Arabidopsis thaliana: one gene and its partner. Each later gene encodes a partner of the first gene's protein in a complex. Each region holds a gene or a part of one and is shown on either strand. Other genes may lie near its edges. The genes, in order: PAA2 and PBG1.

The links.
Region 2: PAA2 (region 1) and PBG1 share a complex: the UniProt entries of both Arabidopsis thaliana proteins name them as parts of the 20S core complex.

What each region holds. Positions count from the first base shown.
Region 1 is NC_003071.7:2,231,210-2,238,387, forward strand, and holds PAA2 (20S proteasome subunit PAA2), read left to right. Parts: upstream 1-2,809; 5' UTR 2,810-3,016; coding exon 3,017-3,092; intron 3,093-3,174; coding exon 3,175-3,269; intron 3,270-3,350; coding exon 3,351-3,432; intron 3,433-3,496; coding exon 3,497-3,593; intron 3,594-3,668; coding exon 3,669-3,727; intron 3,728-3,809; coding exon 3,810-3,892; intron 3,893-4,198; coding exon 4,199-4,294; coding exon of another isoform or gene 4,295-4,324; exon of another isoform or gene 4,325-4,483; coding exon 4,484-4,543; coding exon of another isoform or gene 4,544-4,545; intron 4,546-4,751; coding exon 4,752-4,844; 3' UTR 4,845-5,261; downstream 5,262-7,178. Other genes in the region: AT2G05830 (NagB/RpiA/CoA transferase-like superfamily protein), read left to right, coding at 1-105, 201-469, 550-630. UniProt on the Arabidopsis thaliana protein: The proteasome is a multicatalytic proteinase complex which is characterized by its ability to cleave peptides with Arg, Phe, Tyr, Leu, and Glu adjacent to the leaving group at neutral or slightly basic pH.
Region 2 is NC_003070.9:21,138,606-21,146,267, forward strand, and holds PBG1 (20S proteasome beta subunit G1), read left to right. Parts: upstream 1-3,027; 5' UTR 3,028-3,364; coding exon 3,365-3,373; intron 3,374-3,483; coding exon 3,484-3,548; intron 3,549-3,651; coding exon 3,652-3,728; intron 3,729-4,707; coding exon 4,708-4,837; intron 4,838-4,922; coding exon 4,923-5,082; intron 5,083-5,165; coding exon 5,166-5,351; intron 5,352-5,467; coding exon 5,468-5,581; 3' UTR 5,582-5,853; downstream 5,854-7,662. Other genes in the region: TPR5 (Tetratricopeptide repeat (TPR)-like superfamily protein), read right to left, coding at 160-263, 380-477, 559-653, 732-914, 1,009-1,146, 1,333-1,545, 1,634-1,716, 1,821-1,942 and 4 more. UniProt on the Arabidopsis thaliana protein: Non-catalytic component of the proteasome, a multicatalytic proteinase complex which is characterized by its ability to cleave peptides with Arg, Phe, Tyr, Leu, and Glu adjacent to the leaving group at neutral or slightly basic pH.

The DNA of each region.
Region 1 (7,178 bases):
AGAAAATCCCTGCAACTCTCATTGCAGACTCAGCTGCAGCTGCACTGATGAAAGATGGTCGTGTTGATGGTGTCATCGTTGGAGCTGATCGTGTGGCTTCAAATGGTACACTCAAACACCTTAGATAAATCCGTTTTCTCTCACAAATCTGATTCCTTATGACTGAATCACTTCTTAACCAATTCATTGATATACTCCAGGCGATACTGCTAACAAGATTGGGACTTACAGTCTCGCCTTGTGCGCAAAACATCACGGGATCCCATTTTATGTTGCTGCACCTCTTACCTCAGTTGATCTGTCACTTTCATCCGGGAAAGAAATCGTGATAGAGGAAAGATCTCCAAAGGAGTTGATGCACACACACGGAGGACTTGGTGAACGCATTGCAGCACCAGGGATCTCAGTTTGGAACCCAGCTTTTGATATGACTCCAGCAGAGCTGATTGCAGGAATCATAACCGAGAAAGTTCGTTTTTCCAGCCTTGCTTGTTCTGGAAGATATTTATGCTCATTTATTTGAATCTCTCAACGTGTTTGTATATGCAGGGGGTCATAACAAAGAATGGCAATGATACATTTGACATAAGCAGCTTTGCCAAGAAGATAACAGGAAACTCATCTCGTTGAAGTTAGAGTCAGCATTGCGACTTGCGGATGTTCCCCTCTCTCTATATACTTGCAACAAAGCAAATTACTTTGTAATGTTTGAGCTACTAAGTACACTGTGGTAAAAATTGTCAAAAATAAGAAATAATCGATACGTTTTAGCCAATTGTAGGTAGCCAAAATGCTGGTCTTGGGTTTAATGCTAATGAAGATTGGGAAACAACTTGTTTTAGTGTAAAACAACTTGTCCATGGGCTTGCCCGGTCCATCTTGACTTGGTTCTTATTTCTCTATTTTTTTAAGTTTAAGAAAAGAATACCGTTTCTCCTACCCGTCAATATTGAAATAATTTCAGAGGTTTTCCTTGTTCTGTGTCAACAAACAATTCGAAATGCCTCGACTTTATCAATTTTTTGATAATTCTGAACTTTAGACCAAATGCATATGGACGAGCTATATTCTGGACCAAAAAACAAATGGTCTAATTGGGCATATGACCAGTTTTGTCCACGGATAATATGGGCTTGACCATATGGACAACGGGCTGCCCATGGGCATGAATTGAGTCAATAGACATGTCTTCATTTAATTGTATTTTTATAATTTTAATTACAATTACAACTAAATAATTTTTAAATAATATATTTTACATTTATAAGTTTTTACTTTTCTGAAAATTTTAAATTTTAATGAATTATTTCTTATTAAATTATTTACGATTTTAAAGGAAAGATAGTATTCCACAATTTTCTGGAATACGCAATTTTTAAATTTTACGGTTTTGACGGGAAAAATACAATTCTCCGATTTTACGATTTTGACGGAAAAACGTAATTCTGCAAATTTTCCACCAAAATCGTGATTTTATTATATTGGCGAGAACACAATTTTACGGTTTTGACGGGAAAACGCAATTCTCTGATTTTACGGTTTTGGCGGGAAAACACAATTTTCCAGCCAAAATCGTGATTTTATTATATTGGCGAAAAACACAATTTTACAGTTTTAGTGAGAAAACACAATTCTCCGATTTTACGGTTTTAGCGGTTAAATCGTTATTTTTTTGTATCGGTGAAAAAAATAATTTTACGATTTTACCGTTTTGGCGAAAAAAGCAATTCCATAATTTTTTCGTCAAAATCGTGATTTTATTGTATTGGTAAGAAAAACACAATTTTACCATTTTGTCGAAAAAAGACAAGTCTTCGATTTCTACAATTTTTACGGAAAAATGCAATTTCTCAATTTTTCTTTAAATTTATGATTTTTGATTTATCAATAATAACAATAATAAAATAGGCTAACCATGGGCTTGCCATATGGACATGGTCTTTATTGGGCATGGACATTTTTCGGACCAAACCGTCCAACTTGGCCCATAAAAAAACTGTCCGTACGGACACGCCCAATGGTCTTTGGACGGACCATTTGACACATCTAGAAACAACCGTCAGCAGTAGCCATTCGTTAAGAGTTTCAGAATTCCGATATATACATTTTGATACAACCTACACAAAAACAAAGACAAAGAGAGAAAATCCAACTATGAGGAGGATTATCTTGTTGATAGTGCCATCAAAAACAAGAGTTAGTTATTCACCTGAAGGTTTGGCTAAACAAAGTATATTATCTCTTTTCATATACCTGTCAATTACATCTTGACGCTGCATTGTCAACAATAGAGACCTCCTATGTCCTTTGTATTCACTCTTGGCTTTCTTAAGTACTCTAGTAGATTCATCTACAAATGTAAACATGGTTGTCTTCGCCGCGAGGTCGTTTGCATGTTCTTCTTTTACTTGTTTCGTTTCAGTTCGTTCTTGATCCTGCAAGATCGGGCGTCTTCTCATTGCGGCGTTAGTTAATTAAAGTATTTTGTGCAAAAAAAATTTCCGTCCAATTTTGCAACTTTATACTCTATGTCCAAAAAAAACAAAATAATTATATGAAATTTAAAATAATACGTAATATAGTCAATTTTTACAATTTTACATATTGTAAACGTAAAAACATTTGTTTTTGAAATTTTTTAAAAAATAAATAGTTAAACTACTCATATCAAGAATTTTGATTTGATATATTATTTATCAAAATTTAAAAGTTTAATAATATCAAAAAAAATTATATTGTGTATTTTTTTAATTTTATATAATTATTCTGCATTCTTTTAACGTGAAATGTAAAGTTGCAGCCCCAGGGAGTATTTTAGAGTTTTTTCGAAGATAATTGTAATCTTAACTTATTATTTCAAGGGTATTTTGGGAGATTGACTATTTTTTTTTGGGTTCTGTCTTGAAGACAAAGAAAGCTTTCTTCTATAATACATCTTTCTCTACAGATCACACAGAAGCAAAAATTCCATCTCCGATTTCGGAAGAGAGTTGTTCTCTTCTCTGAGAAGAAGAAGATGAGCAGAGGAAGCGGCGCTGGTTACGATCGTCACATCACTATTTTCTCACCGGAAGGTCGTCTCTTCCAAGTCGGTCAGTAATCAATTTCTCTATCTTTTTTGTTTTTTTAATTTATAACTTCGGAGATTGATATTACTGGTTACGGATTTTGTAGAGTATGCTTTCAAAGCCGTGAAAGCAGCTGGAATCACATCGATCGGTGTCCGAGGGAAAGATTCAGTATGCGTCGTTACGCAGAAGAAAGTTCCGGTGAGTCCTCTTTTGACTCCTTAGGGTTTTTGTTCAAGTGAGGGTTTTGAATTAGGGATCTGATGAATGATTTGTGGGCAGGACAAGCTTTTGGATCAGTCTAGTGTATCTCACCTTTTCCCTGTTACCAAGTACCTTGGATTGTTAGCCACTGGCATGACAGGTTTGTATTTCTCATCACAATGCTTGTTCATTATGGTCATGTTTTGATCTTTCTGGGGTTGCAGCTGATTCAAGGTCATTGGTACAACAAGCTAGGAATGAGGCTGCTGAGTTTAGGTTCCAATATGGTTATGAGATGCCTGCAGATATTCTTGCTAAATGGTAATTAATTACAGACTCTATGTGTCTCTCTACACTTATGAAAGTTACTAATACTGAACTATTGTGCTGTGACAGGATTGCAGATAAGTCTCAGGTTTACACACAACATGCTTACATGAGACCCCTTGGAGTAGGCAAGTTTCCCTAATCCCTATTTATACATTTTACTTGTGTGGTGGTTTTATCCTGATTCTTGTTTTCTTTGTCTTTGTGAAGTTGCCATGGTTCTAGGTATTGATGAAGAGAGAGGACCTCTACTTTACAAGTGTGACCCAGCTGGACATTTTTACGGTCACAAGGTAATACCACCTACTTGTTATGATTAGATAAGCCTCTGCCTCTTACATGCATATTCGTATAGACTACTGCCTTTGCTAACATGGAAGAAAGAAACATTATATTGCACTTGCCTAACCAGATACTGTACTGAGAAACTTATCTGCTTTTAAGAGTTACTGGTTGACCATGGAGGTGAAACCAAAAGTTCTACACACTGTAAACCTGTGAAATATGATGTAGTCACATACGTGGTACATATGTTCCATAGGATCAGAGGCTTCTATATAAAGTTTCTCCACTTATAAGTTAGCAAACATATGATGCAGGCAACTAGTGCTGGTATGAAAGAACAAGAAGCAGTCAATTTCTTGGAGAAGAAAATGAAAGAAAACCCTGCCTTCACATATGATGAAACAGTACAGGTAATTATGGACAATCCTTCTTTATTTTAGATCGGAAGCAGGTTGATCATTTGCAATGTTCATTTGCTTGCACTTTAAAAGCTTTATTGTTTTATATTAGGTTTAGAAACTGTAGGAACGCACAAAACACCAAAATTCTGTGACAGACCTAGACCATTATATCTGACTTTGAGTTATCAACTTTTGTAGACTGCTATATCCGCTCTCCAATCTGTTCTTCAAGAAGACTTCAAAGCAACTGAAATTGAGGTGTCAATTCTCCACTATCTGTACTCCTTTTTGTATAAATGTTGGCAAGAGTAGTATTTTGTATATATGTTGGCCAGAGTCGAATCGTGTTAGCCAGAGTTGTATCGTGGTTAGGAATAAAGAAGGAGAAACCAATGGAAATGTAGTTTTGTTAAAGCTTTGTGAAAAGGCATGTAAATATTTATGCTGGCTACTGTTGTGTTGGCAGGTGGGAGTTGTGAGAGCTGATGACCCTCTCTTCCGTTCCCTGAGAACAGAGGAGATCGACGAGCACTTGACGGCCATTAGTGAACGTGACTGATCACTTTCACTGGAACATTCAGTCGGGACTTTGCATCTCTTTCTTTTGCTTTAAATCTATCTAAGATGATTCACGTTTCAGAGAAACGTGTTTCCATTAGTCATGAGTCGTGTAGTTTTCATTTGAATCATCTGCTTCCTCCTAATAGGAGTTACATGTAAGGGTGTCAAATTAAGGTCGAATGAGATGGTTTAAGGTTTTGAATTTTAAAAGGCAAAACAAAGAAAGTTATTTACAAAAATTGGGAAATCTGCAAAACCTGGACACTTGGTCTTTAACATAATCTCCTAAAGGAACTCTGCATTTTGATGTCCGAGTCCAACTCAATGAACAGAGCTTGACTGAAACGTTTTTTGGAGGTGAAATTCCTTTATTCGTAGGCTTGTTAAAGAGTCTACGCTATAGCTTACCCTCGACTCTCTGCCACCCTTGATTGCGATACTGATATAGTTGAGCATAAAACTCAAAAGGTCGTGTGAAGAAGAATTTTGGTAAGATGTCCTTTGTTCTATCGCCTTTGATGTATATGTTTTTGAGTTGTGCGATGCATGCTGCATTGTCTTTGTACATAATTGTTGGAGCTTTTTTCCTTGCATAGATACCACAATCTTTTTGTATATGGTAACTATGGATCTTAGCCATACACGCTAAAAATCTTGCGGCTAGTTTCATGAATTGCTAAAATCTCTGAATGATTAGAAGATGTGGCTGCAACAGTTTTCTTCATAGAACGCCAATAAATAGCAATACATGTGAAGACATATTCTGTTTACGATCTACCATTATGGAGATCAGATAAATATCCTGCATCTGCAAAACCTTATGGAGATCAGATAAGTATCCTGCATCTGCAAAACCAATTAAATCTTCTAAATTGGTTAGGAAAAAGCAGACTCATGTCTTTCTTACATTGGAGATAACGAAGTATATGTTTAATTCCATTCCAATGTCTTCGAGTTGGACATGAACTTGCACTTAAGTATGATATTTCAGGACTAAGAACTCCTTCATTGTTTTCCCGAGGACATAATGGATCTTTATCCACATCAAGTGACCTTACAACCATTGGGCTACTCAAGGGGACTGCTCCATCCATGTAGAATCTTTTGAGAACATTTTCTGTATATGTCTCTTGATGCACCAGAATTACATTATTTAGGTGTTCAATTTGTAGTCCCAAACAAAATTTTGTTTTTCCAAAATCTCTCTTCTCAAATTCTTTCTTTAAATATTCTACTGTGAAGGAGATCTCTGCAGAAGTTCCCATAATATTTAAATCATCAACATAAACTACAATTATAACAAATCATTTCCCAAATCTGTTTATAAAGATGCATGGACTAACATAGTCTTTTTTTGTATATTCTTTTAGCAAGTCACTAAGGCGATTATACCACATACACCATGATTGTTTTAATTTATAAAGGGATCGATTTAATTTTATGCAGTATTGTTCTCGAGAATTTGATTGTACTGCTTCTGACATTTTAAATCATTCTGGGATTTTCATATAAATGTCATTTTTCAGTGGACCGTATAAATAGGTTGTGACTACATCCATCAAACATAAATCAAGTCCTTCTTTTACTGCTAGACTAATAAGGAACCAAAATGTAGTTGCATCCACCACAAGAGAGTATGTCTCTTCATAGTCAATTCCGGGTCTTTGTGGGAATCCTTGTGCGACTTTATGCCTTACAATTTCACCGTTTTCATTCTTCTTTCGTACAAAGACCCATTTATGTCCCACTGGTTTTACACTTTCGGGTGTACAGACTACTGGTCCAAACACTTCTCTCTTTGCAAGAAATTTTAATTCTGCATCTATTGCTTCATTCCATTCTGGCAAATCACTTCTTTGTGTACACTCTTCAATAGATGTTGGTTCATGATCCTCATCCATAACATCAACTGCTATGTTGCAAGCAAAATATCATCGACGTCGATTTGCTTTCAGTTCTATTTTCTTCTAGACATGACATAACCAGTTGAGATCTCTTAATTGTCAGGTAACTGAATTTCTTTCTGTGTCATGTCTAAAGTCTCTTCGGGAGATTCCTCATTTGTAATTATTTTTTCTATTTTACCTATGCCAATTTCTGTCCCTTTTCTTTTTTAAGGATTTTTATTTTTGAGCCAATAGGTTTACCACGCTTTAAACGTGTTTTTGTCCTTAGGAGATATTTATTCTTATTGGATCATTTGCAACCGGTATATGTGATTTGATCACACTTTTGGGTCAGTAAATGCATAGGGCAACTGATTTGCTAAGCTCTGTAAATGAATTAACTTTTGGACTTCTAATTCACACTCTTTAGTCCGAGGATCAAGATA
Region 2 (7,662 bases), on another chromosome or scaffold:
CCGAGCAACATATACCCATTTTAACATTCTAAGTTTTTTCGGTTCTTTCGGTAAATATATGAACAAAAAACTGGTTCATTATCATCCAAAATGCTTACTGGCCTACTGGGTGTGCAAAATCTTCACCATGTACACTACTAAAAAGAGCCATCTACTAAGTTACTGTTTAAGGCAGTATCTTGACCTTAGTTTGTCTAAGACCTCTGCATACTCCATTGGGGTTGCTTTATTGCAGAAAACATCTTCCCATATCTTCAGTAGCTCTGCACCAAGAGAAATCAGATATCACAATTGTTATGATGTAGGTCATTTACACTACATGTATATGCTTTGATCATATTAAAGATCGTTGACATGACATGAAGAAGAAAGGGAGTACCGTTTTTCTCGGTTGAGGTAAGGCACATGACGAGCATGTTGAATCTAGGAACCTTTGTTAGGTTCTCAATGTATTTAACTGCCAAATCCATGTCTTCACTGCAACAAGCAAGAAACCATAAGCACCAATTATTACAAGATTTTTTGGAGAACCAGAATGCAAATGGTCAGTTTACTCACGTGAAGAATGAGGCTACACATTTGATTATGTCAACCAGCACCGGAGAGGTCAGGGCGTTCTTGAAAATCTGAGGTAAAGAGCTCGGAGTCGTGACCTGATATATTTACAAACCTGGTGAGTTGCACTGTTATTTAGGGATTGAGTTTATTTTTTTGCAGGTGGTATTTCAAACCTTCAACAATTGGCTTCGTAGGGCACTGTCGCCGGAAAAACTCCGCCAAGAGTTCTCAAATTCGTAAGCAGATTTTGGGGTTTTAATGTTTTTAGAAGCTTCAGTCATCGCAAGTGACGCTGCATGAGCAGCAAGCTCTTGTACTGATGGCTTTAGTTCCAGCTGTTTAGAAACCTGGTTTTCCTGTAACATTAGAATGGGGACAAGTTTTGTAGCATCAGAGTGGATTTTTTTGTACCACATCAACCTTTTTAACACTTAGACCACCATTACTTACCGGTCCAGAAGGCTGAGTACCATTTCTGTCAGAAGGCTTCGCCTCCTTTTCATAACTTTGGCTTCCAGGCGTCACTTTCTTGCTGTCTAGAATTTCCGTGATAGCTGGAATTTTCATGGAACCTTCTTTGCTTTTCTCCTGAAGATAGCATGACAAGTATAATGAGATAAGCTCTCGAAAATTCCATCTATGCTAACTAAAGATAAAGTTTCCATGTGATAATAATATCCGACAAACTTTACTAGTAAAACTAATTCTACACGACCTTTTAGATGTGCACTTTTGAACTTAACTTATATCAAACAAAATAAACTTGAAATATACCTCAGGTTGTATATTTTCAATGAGCTTCTTTCCCGAACTTTCATTGCTACCTAGAACAGGCTGAACAATATCCCTGTTCGTTTTGGCCACTAGGGTCACTGGCTTTGAAGTCATTTCTGTCTTTGGCTTTTGTATTTTCTTATCTAAACCTGATGTTTTGAGTAATTCTTGTGCAGTGCTTTGCATTGCTCCAGTGGCTTTCTCAATGATTTCCTGCTCAAAATTCAAAAAGTTAAGTATTTGTGAAGCATTTAAAATTAACCTGGCAAAAATGCAGCAAAGAAGCATATGAAAATATTACTTTCTCGAGCAAAGATTTGATATCGGCATATTGCTTCTTAAGTTCCTGGCTCTCAGGCTCCAATCTTAAGGCAAACTCAGCATCTGCGAATAATTTTAATCACCTTACATATGCAGCAACATGTAATAAAGAAATTGTATGTATCTTAACAGAACAGAATGAATGATTATATGGGTGCGAGGGATACCTTCTTTGGCTTCTTTAATCATGCCGAGTTCTTTTCTTGCTGTTGCTCGGCGTGAGTAAGCTTTTATATATCGATCATCCAGATTTAAAGCTTCTGTGCAGTCAACCTCAGCCTCTCGATATCTAATGTAAGAATCATTTTACAAAGTCAGAAAATATAGCTTAAAGAGGATCAGGTAATGGAAGACAAGTGGACACACACAAGAGTCACAGTGATGAATGAATAAAACCAATGAAACAGACAATGAGCAAACCTTTTGATTTTAAGGTAAGCCATTGCTCGATTTGCATAAGTCACAGCATTTGGCGATAAAGCAATGCTCCGAGAGTAACAATCAATCGCCTCATTGAACTTCTTCTGCTTGAAGAATTCATTACCCTGTATTCCAAGAGAGGTCCATGAGAAAGATTGCATCACGAGAATATCACATAACAAAAACAAAGCTTGAAGAAGAGAAAGTACCTGCTCCTTCTCTGAACTAGAATCCAATAGACTTTCTCCAATCAAACTACTCGACAAATCCCTAATGGAACGATACTTTTTAGCAAAGTCATATTTCCCTGACCCACTTGGTCTGAACGTCTCACTACTCTGAAAGTTCAAAACAAGGAATCTCATAAGGATGCATTAAGTTTTACAAATGAGAGCACTTCTGTATATACACAAAAGAACGAACCGGATTCGACGAATTAGCAGGTTGTTGCTTAATCTTCTTGTCTTTATCCTTCAATGAGAGTTCCCAATCCTGCAAGTCATTGAAAAATCCCTGGAAATCCTGGAAAAAAAAATTCGAAACCAAACGATGCAAGTAAACATCTAATTCGTTCTTAGTCTATATACATAATCGATTGTACAACAGTTCGTTGAACTAACAATCTCCATGAAATCTAGATAACGAAGTGGAGATAAGGAGCACGAGTCGTTTCGATTTTTTTCCTTTTTCATTCTCGAGTAAACAGAGATTTTAGCTAGAGAAGATTCATGTAAGAAAGATGAATCGAGTAGAAATGGTTACCTGAGTTTGATCGCGGCCGTGTTTGCTCGGTGACCTAGCCATTCTGAGAGAGATTCTCCGGCGAGCAAATAGTCGACGAGAAAGAGCAAAGATGATTCTAGAAGAAGACTGAGAAAGTCACAGAGTTCAATTTTGAACTACAGTATTGGACTTGGGCTTTCCGATATTTGAGTAATGTCGGGTGGGGTCATGTCAGTAACCGGGTTAAATCGATAATATTGGTTGAGATCGGGTAGGTCGGGTCAAATCGAGAATAAACCGGCCCGTTTGACACCTCTACGTGTGAAACTGAGTCAGGTCGGGTCAGGTAAAGAACCGTATTAAACCAATAAATTGATATTAGTGTGTGAGATCAAATCGGATCGGGTGAATAACCAGGTTAAACCGGTAAACACCGGGTCAGGCCCGATTCGCTATGTTTCTTGAGCGAAAGGAAATCACAGAAGTCTTTTTAGTGAGGTAAACAAAACCAAAACCATCAGATCTTAAGAAGAAGAACCTAAAGCTCACTACGATATTTTTCGAGAATATGACGACTGTAAGTCAGATCAATCTCGTCTTCAATGTTCTTATTACTATCTCTGCTTCTGATCCTTCTAGGTTTGATTTCGTTTTCCTGATTTTGATTTTGTTTCTTCTTCTGAGCAGTTTTCTGTTCCGATTGATAACGGAGATTCTATGAAGATCGCAGAAGAAGAATCACAAAGAACACTGTAAAAATCTCTTACTCTTATGCTTATGTAGGGTTTTCGATTTTGAGAAAATTTGGGATTCGATTTTGAATTTATTAGGGTTTTGTTTTGGTTTTTTGTTTAGGTACCCATATGTTACTGGAACTTCAATTGTTGCAATCAAGTACAAAGATGGGGTTTTGATGGCTTCTGATATGGGAGGTATGTCTCAGCTCCTAGTTTCAGCTCTTTATTTGGTTAAGTATTTGTATTGGTTTAATGTATGCACAAATTTTTGCAATGTATGTTTAGATTTACATCTGTTATAAGCTTGATTGCTTGAATCGTTTGTTTTGCCTCTCTTGGTGTTTGTTTGGTTAAATCTGTTTCTTTTTCTCTGTGAGAGATCATCACAAGTCAGTGAATAGATCATGTGTTTCAGATATGCTCGTTTCATGCGTATGAATCCTTCAAATTTCATTTCTCTAGTGTCTTTTCTGCTACATTTTTAAGTATGGTTTGATTCTTTTGGTCAAATTTGATTTTTGCATCTTTATAGACGATTCAGTGAATTAGGGTCAAACACTATTATGCAGAACAGGTTTTGTTATGTCTATTAGCTGCTTGATTGATAATAATATGTATTTTGGGCTAAACATATAGACAAGCAATTGCTTTTTGTTTTTTATGAGATTAGTTTCACATCCCCCTTGCATTTGTTTTCTTAGCTACGTTATCTTTCCAACATAGAATGTTACAGTTCTTTGGTTGTTCCTGTTTCGTCTCTTTAATATTGTTAGATTTAGGGTAAACTAAGAATTGAGGCTTCTTTTATGAATGATCCAGAGAATAATGTTGAAAAGTCTTGACTGTTTCTAGATCTTTTTGCTTTTGTTTCGGTTCCCTGTGTGCCATCCATTGTTAATTAGGTCAAGAGATGACAACTGAGAATTAACGTTACAACCATCAACCAGTACTTAGCTATGTTCATTGAAATAGTTTGATTTCTCATATCTTAACACCGACTCACAATAAGTAAGAGCTGTCATTTGTTTGTACGGTTAATAATTTTGATGGTATATCTATGTAGCTTGGATTATTCTTTTATGTTCTAATGGTGTGATCCTGGTTTCCTGGGACTTATGCACCAGGGAAATTACGATATTGTGCCATCAACTCACTTTCAAATTTTTGCATGCAGGTTCATATGGATCAACCTTAAGATACAAGAACATCGAGAGAGTGAAGGCTATTGGTAAGCATTCTCTTCTTGGTGCCAGCGGAGAAATCAGCGACTTTCAGGAGATTCTCCGTTATCTTGATGAGCTCACGTAAGAATCCGTTTGGTTCAATTTTTTTATATTTTAATCTTTCCTTGTCAATTATCAAGCCTCACAAGCCCTTGGTTTTACACAGCCTGAATGATAACATGTGGGATGATGGTAACTCTTTGGGACCAAAAGAGATTCACAACTATCTGACCCGTGTGATGTACAACCGTCGCAACAAGTTTAACCCTCTGTGGAACACTCTCGTCCTTGGAGGCGTCAAAAATGGGAAAAGTTACCTTGGAATGGTACGTCTCAGTCTTTCAAGTCACATATATAAAATTTTCTTATGAATGTAACTATTGATTTGGATCCATTTGCTTCTCTCTAGGTGTCAATGATTGGTGTTAGTTTTGAGGACGATCATGTTGCCACTGGATTTGGAAACCACCTTGCTAGGCCAATTCTTCGTGATGAGTGGCATGCAGACCTGAGTTTTGAAGATGGTGTCAAGCTACTTGAGAAATGTATGCGTGTGCTTCTTTACCGTGACAGATCTGCTATTAACAAGCTTCAGGTTTGTCTCTAATAACAAGTTTTGTTTACCGTTATCTCATCTCGTATAATCTTTGTTTAGTTTGGTAGAAGTTCTTCATAAGGATTGTAATAACAGAAAATATGAAAACTGTGCAGATAGCGAAGATCACGGAAGAGGGCGTGACGGTCTCACAGCCATACTCATTGAAGACATACTGGGAATTCTCGTCATTCCACAACCCAACTGCTGGTGCTGCAGGCTCCTGGTAAGAAGCCAAGCAACCACATCGGCTGGCGATCTTTTAAGGAAGCTTTTATTTTATTTTATGTGATGTTGTTAAACACTTTGTACTGTAGTTGTTTTACTATTAAACTTGGTGGTTTCTTTCTGACAGTCCAGAGTTTAGATCAATGAGGATTTATAAAAAGTACTGGATATCTTTGGGTAGTAATCCATACCTTTGTTCATTGTTGATCGTTCTCCATCGCTTTTTGGTCTCCTTTCTCTTTTCTCATTTTAAGTGAAGTTGACACAATTTGCACACAAATTCATAAAATTAATAAATCATCTATTGGAACCTACTCTCTCATTATTTATTAATCATAATTATTTCAGTAAATTCTTAACAAGTAAAGTATTAACAACTCCATTTCGTGATATGCATTATTCATCTCCTAATTGAATCCAAATTCCAAAAGTACAAATTCCATCAGGTTATTATCTAGTCAAATAGGTTTTTAAGAGCATCTCCATTAGAAATTCAAAGAGTTTTCCAAACAAACAAAAAAATAAAGTTTTATTATATGATTAATTTTTTTTATTTTAGTTAAAAACTGAACTAATGATAAAGAGAGAAATGTCATGATGAGTTGTAGAGAGTATCTCATAGTTTCTCAAGTGAGAAACTTTCTACCTTCTTTCTCTTTCATTTTTAATATTTTTATTTTTTTAGTTGTGAAAAACTCTTGTGAAAAACTTCTAATGGAAATGGTCTAATAGTTACAAGATCTATTAAATTCATAGGGTGAGTAGTTTTCTTGAACTTGTAAACGTAACAAGTTGTATATTTTCTTGAAATTTATAACCCGTTTTCTTGAACGCTGAATTTTATAGTTCTTTTAAAATTCCAATAATTATTTAAATTATAATTTAACTTTTCTAAAATCAATTTCCGACTATTGTGTTATCATTTTTGATCAAATTACAAATAATTTAGATTTTAATTTCTTATATTATTTTTCATGAAATTTATACTCATGAAAATACCCTAACGACTATTACTAGTGCTCATTTCTACACACGTCTTAAATATTCAAATTAGATACTCCAACTCTCGATTTTATGCGTATTCAGAATCGTAAATTAACAAATATTAGTCAACTGTTACAAATGTTGACTTAATTGACACGTGTGTAACAAAGTGGCGATTCTACTTTGTAAACTTCGTTTAGTCAAACCTTAGATCTTTTACAAATTTAAGCATATACAATACCAACCACCAAACATGGTCGTTTTACAAAGAAAAATTGCCAACTTATCACACACGTGACAACTGAGTCAACATATATCCCGATTGACTAACGTCCGTTAATAACGACTTGAAATTATGCATAAAAATCGACAGTTAGAGTATGTAATTTGAATAATTAAGACGTTTTCATATAAATGTTAGAATAAGTACATGTCTAAAAGAGTTCTTTGCAGATTGTTGGGATTGGGAAAAACTCTTTCTTTTTCTTTTGTAAATAGAAAATTTTACGTATGTCAAACTAATATAAACATGCTTTAATTTATATAATAAATATAAATAAATGGGGAAGTGCCTTTACTCAAGTGGTTAAGTCTATTTGATTCCATATTTCCCATCGTAGTTTGACTCCACTAAATCGCGTTATCCCGCGTAGTAAAGATTGACTATGGATCGAATTTTCTCGATTCAAAGATGTCAAAAAAACATAAACAAATATATACTAACATTTTTATCAAATATTAGAAAATTCAGTCCTATGAACTCATTATGTTTCTTTATTTTTTTTAAATTATTTGCAAACAACACATTACAATGCAACAATAAAACATACTTTCAGATTTCAATCCAAAATGTTAAGTAACATATACAAAAACCAAAACATATATTGCTTGTACACGTACCACTACCTTCTCAAGTTTTGCAATCTCTATAATAATAACATAAACATACATTATCGTTAGACACTTGAGAGATGTGAGGGAGAGTGCAGTTTTGTAATGGGCCGATTTACGACAAAATAAGCGAAATATAAGGCCCTGAGTATATAAATATTACTGTTTAGCGGTAAACCCTGTCTGTGAACGCTAACGTTAACCAAGT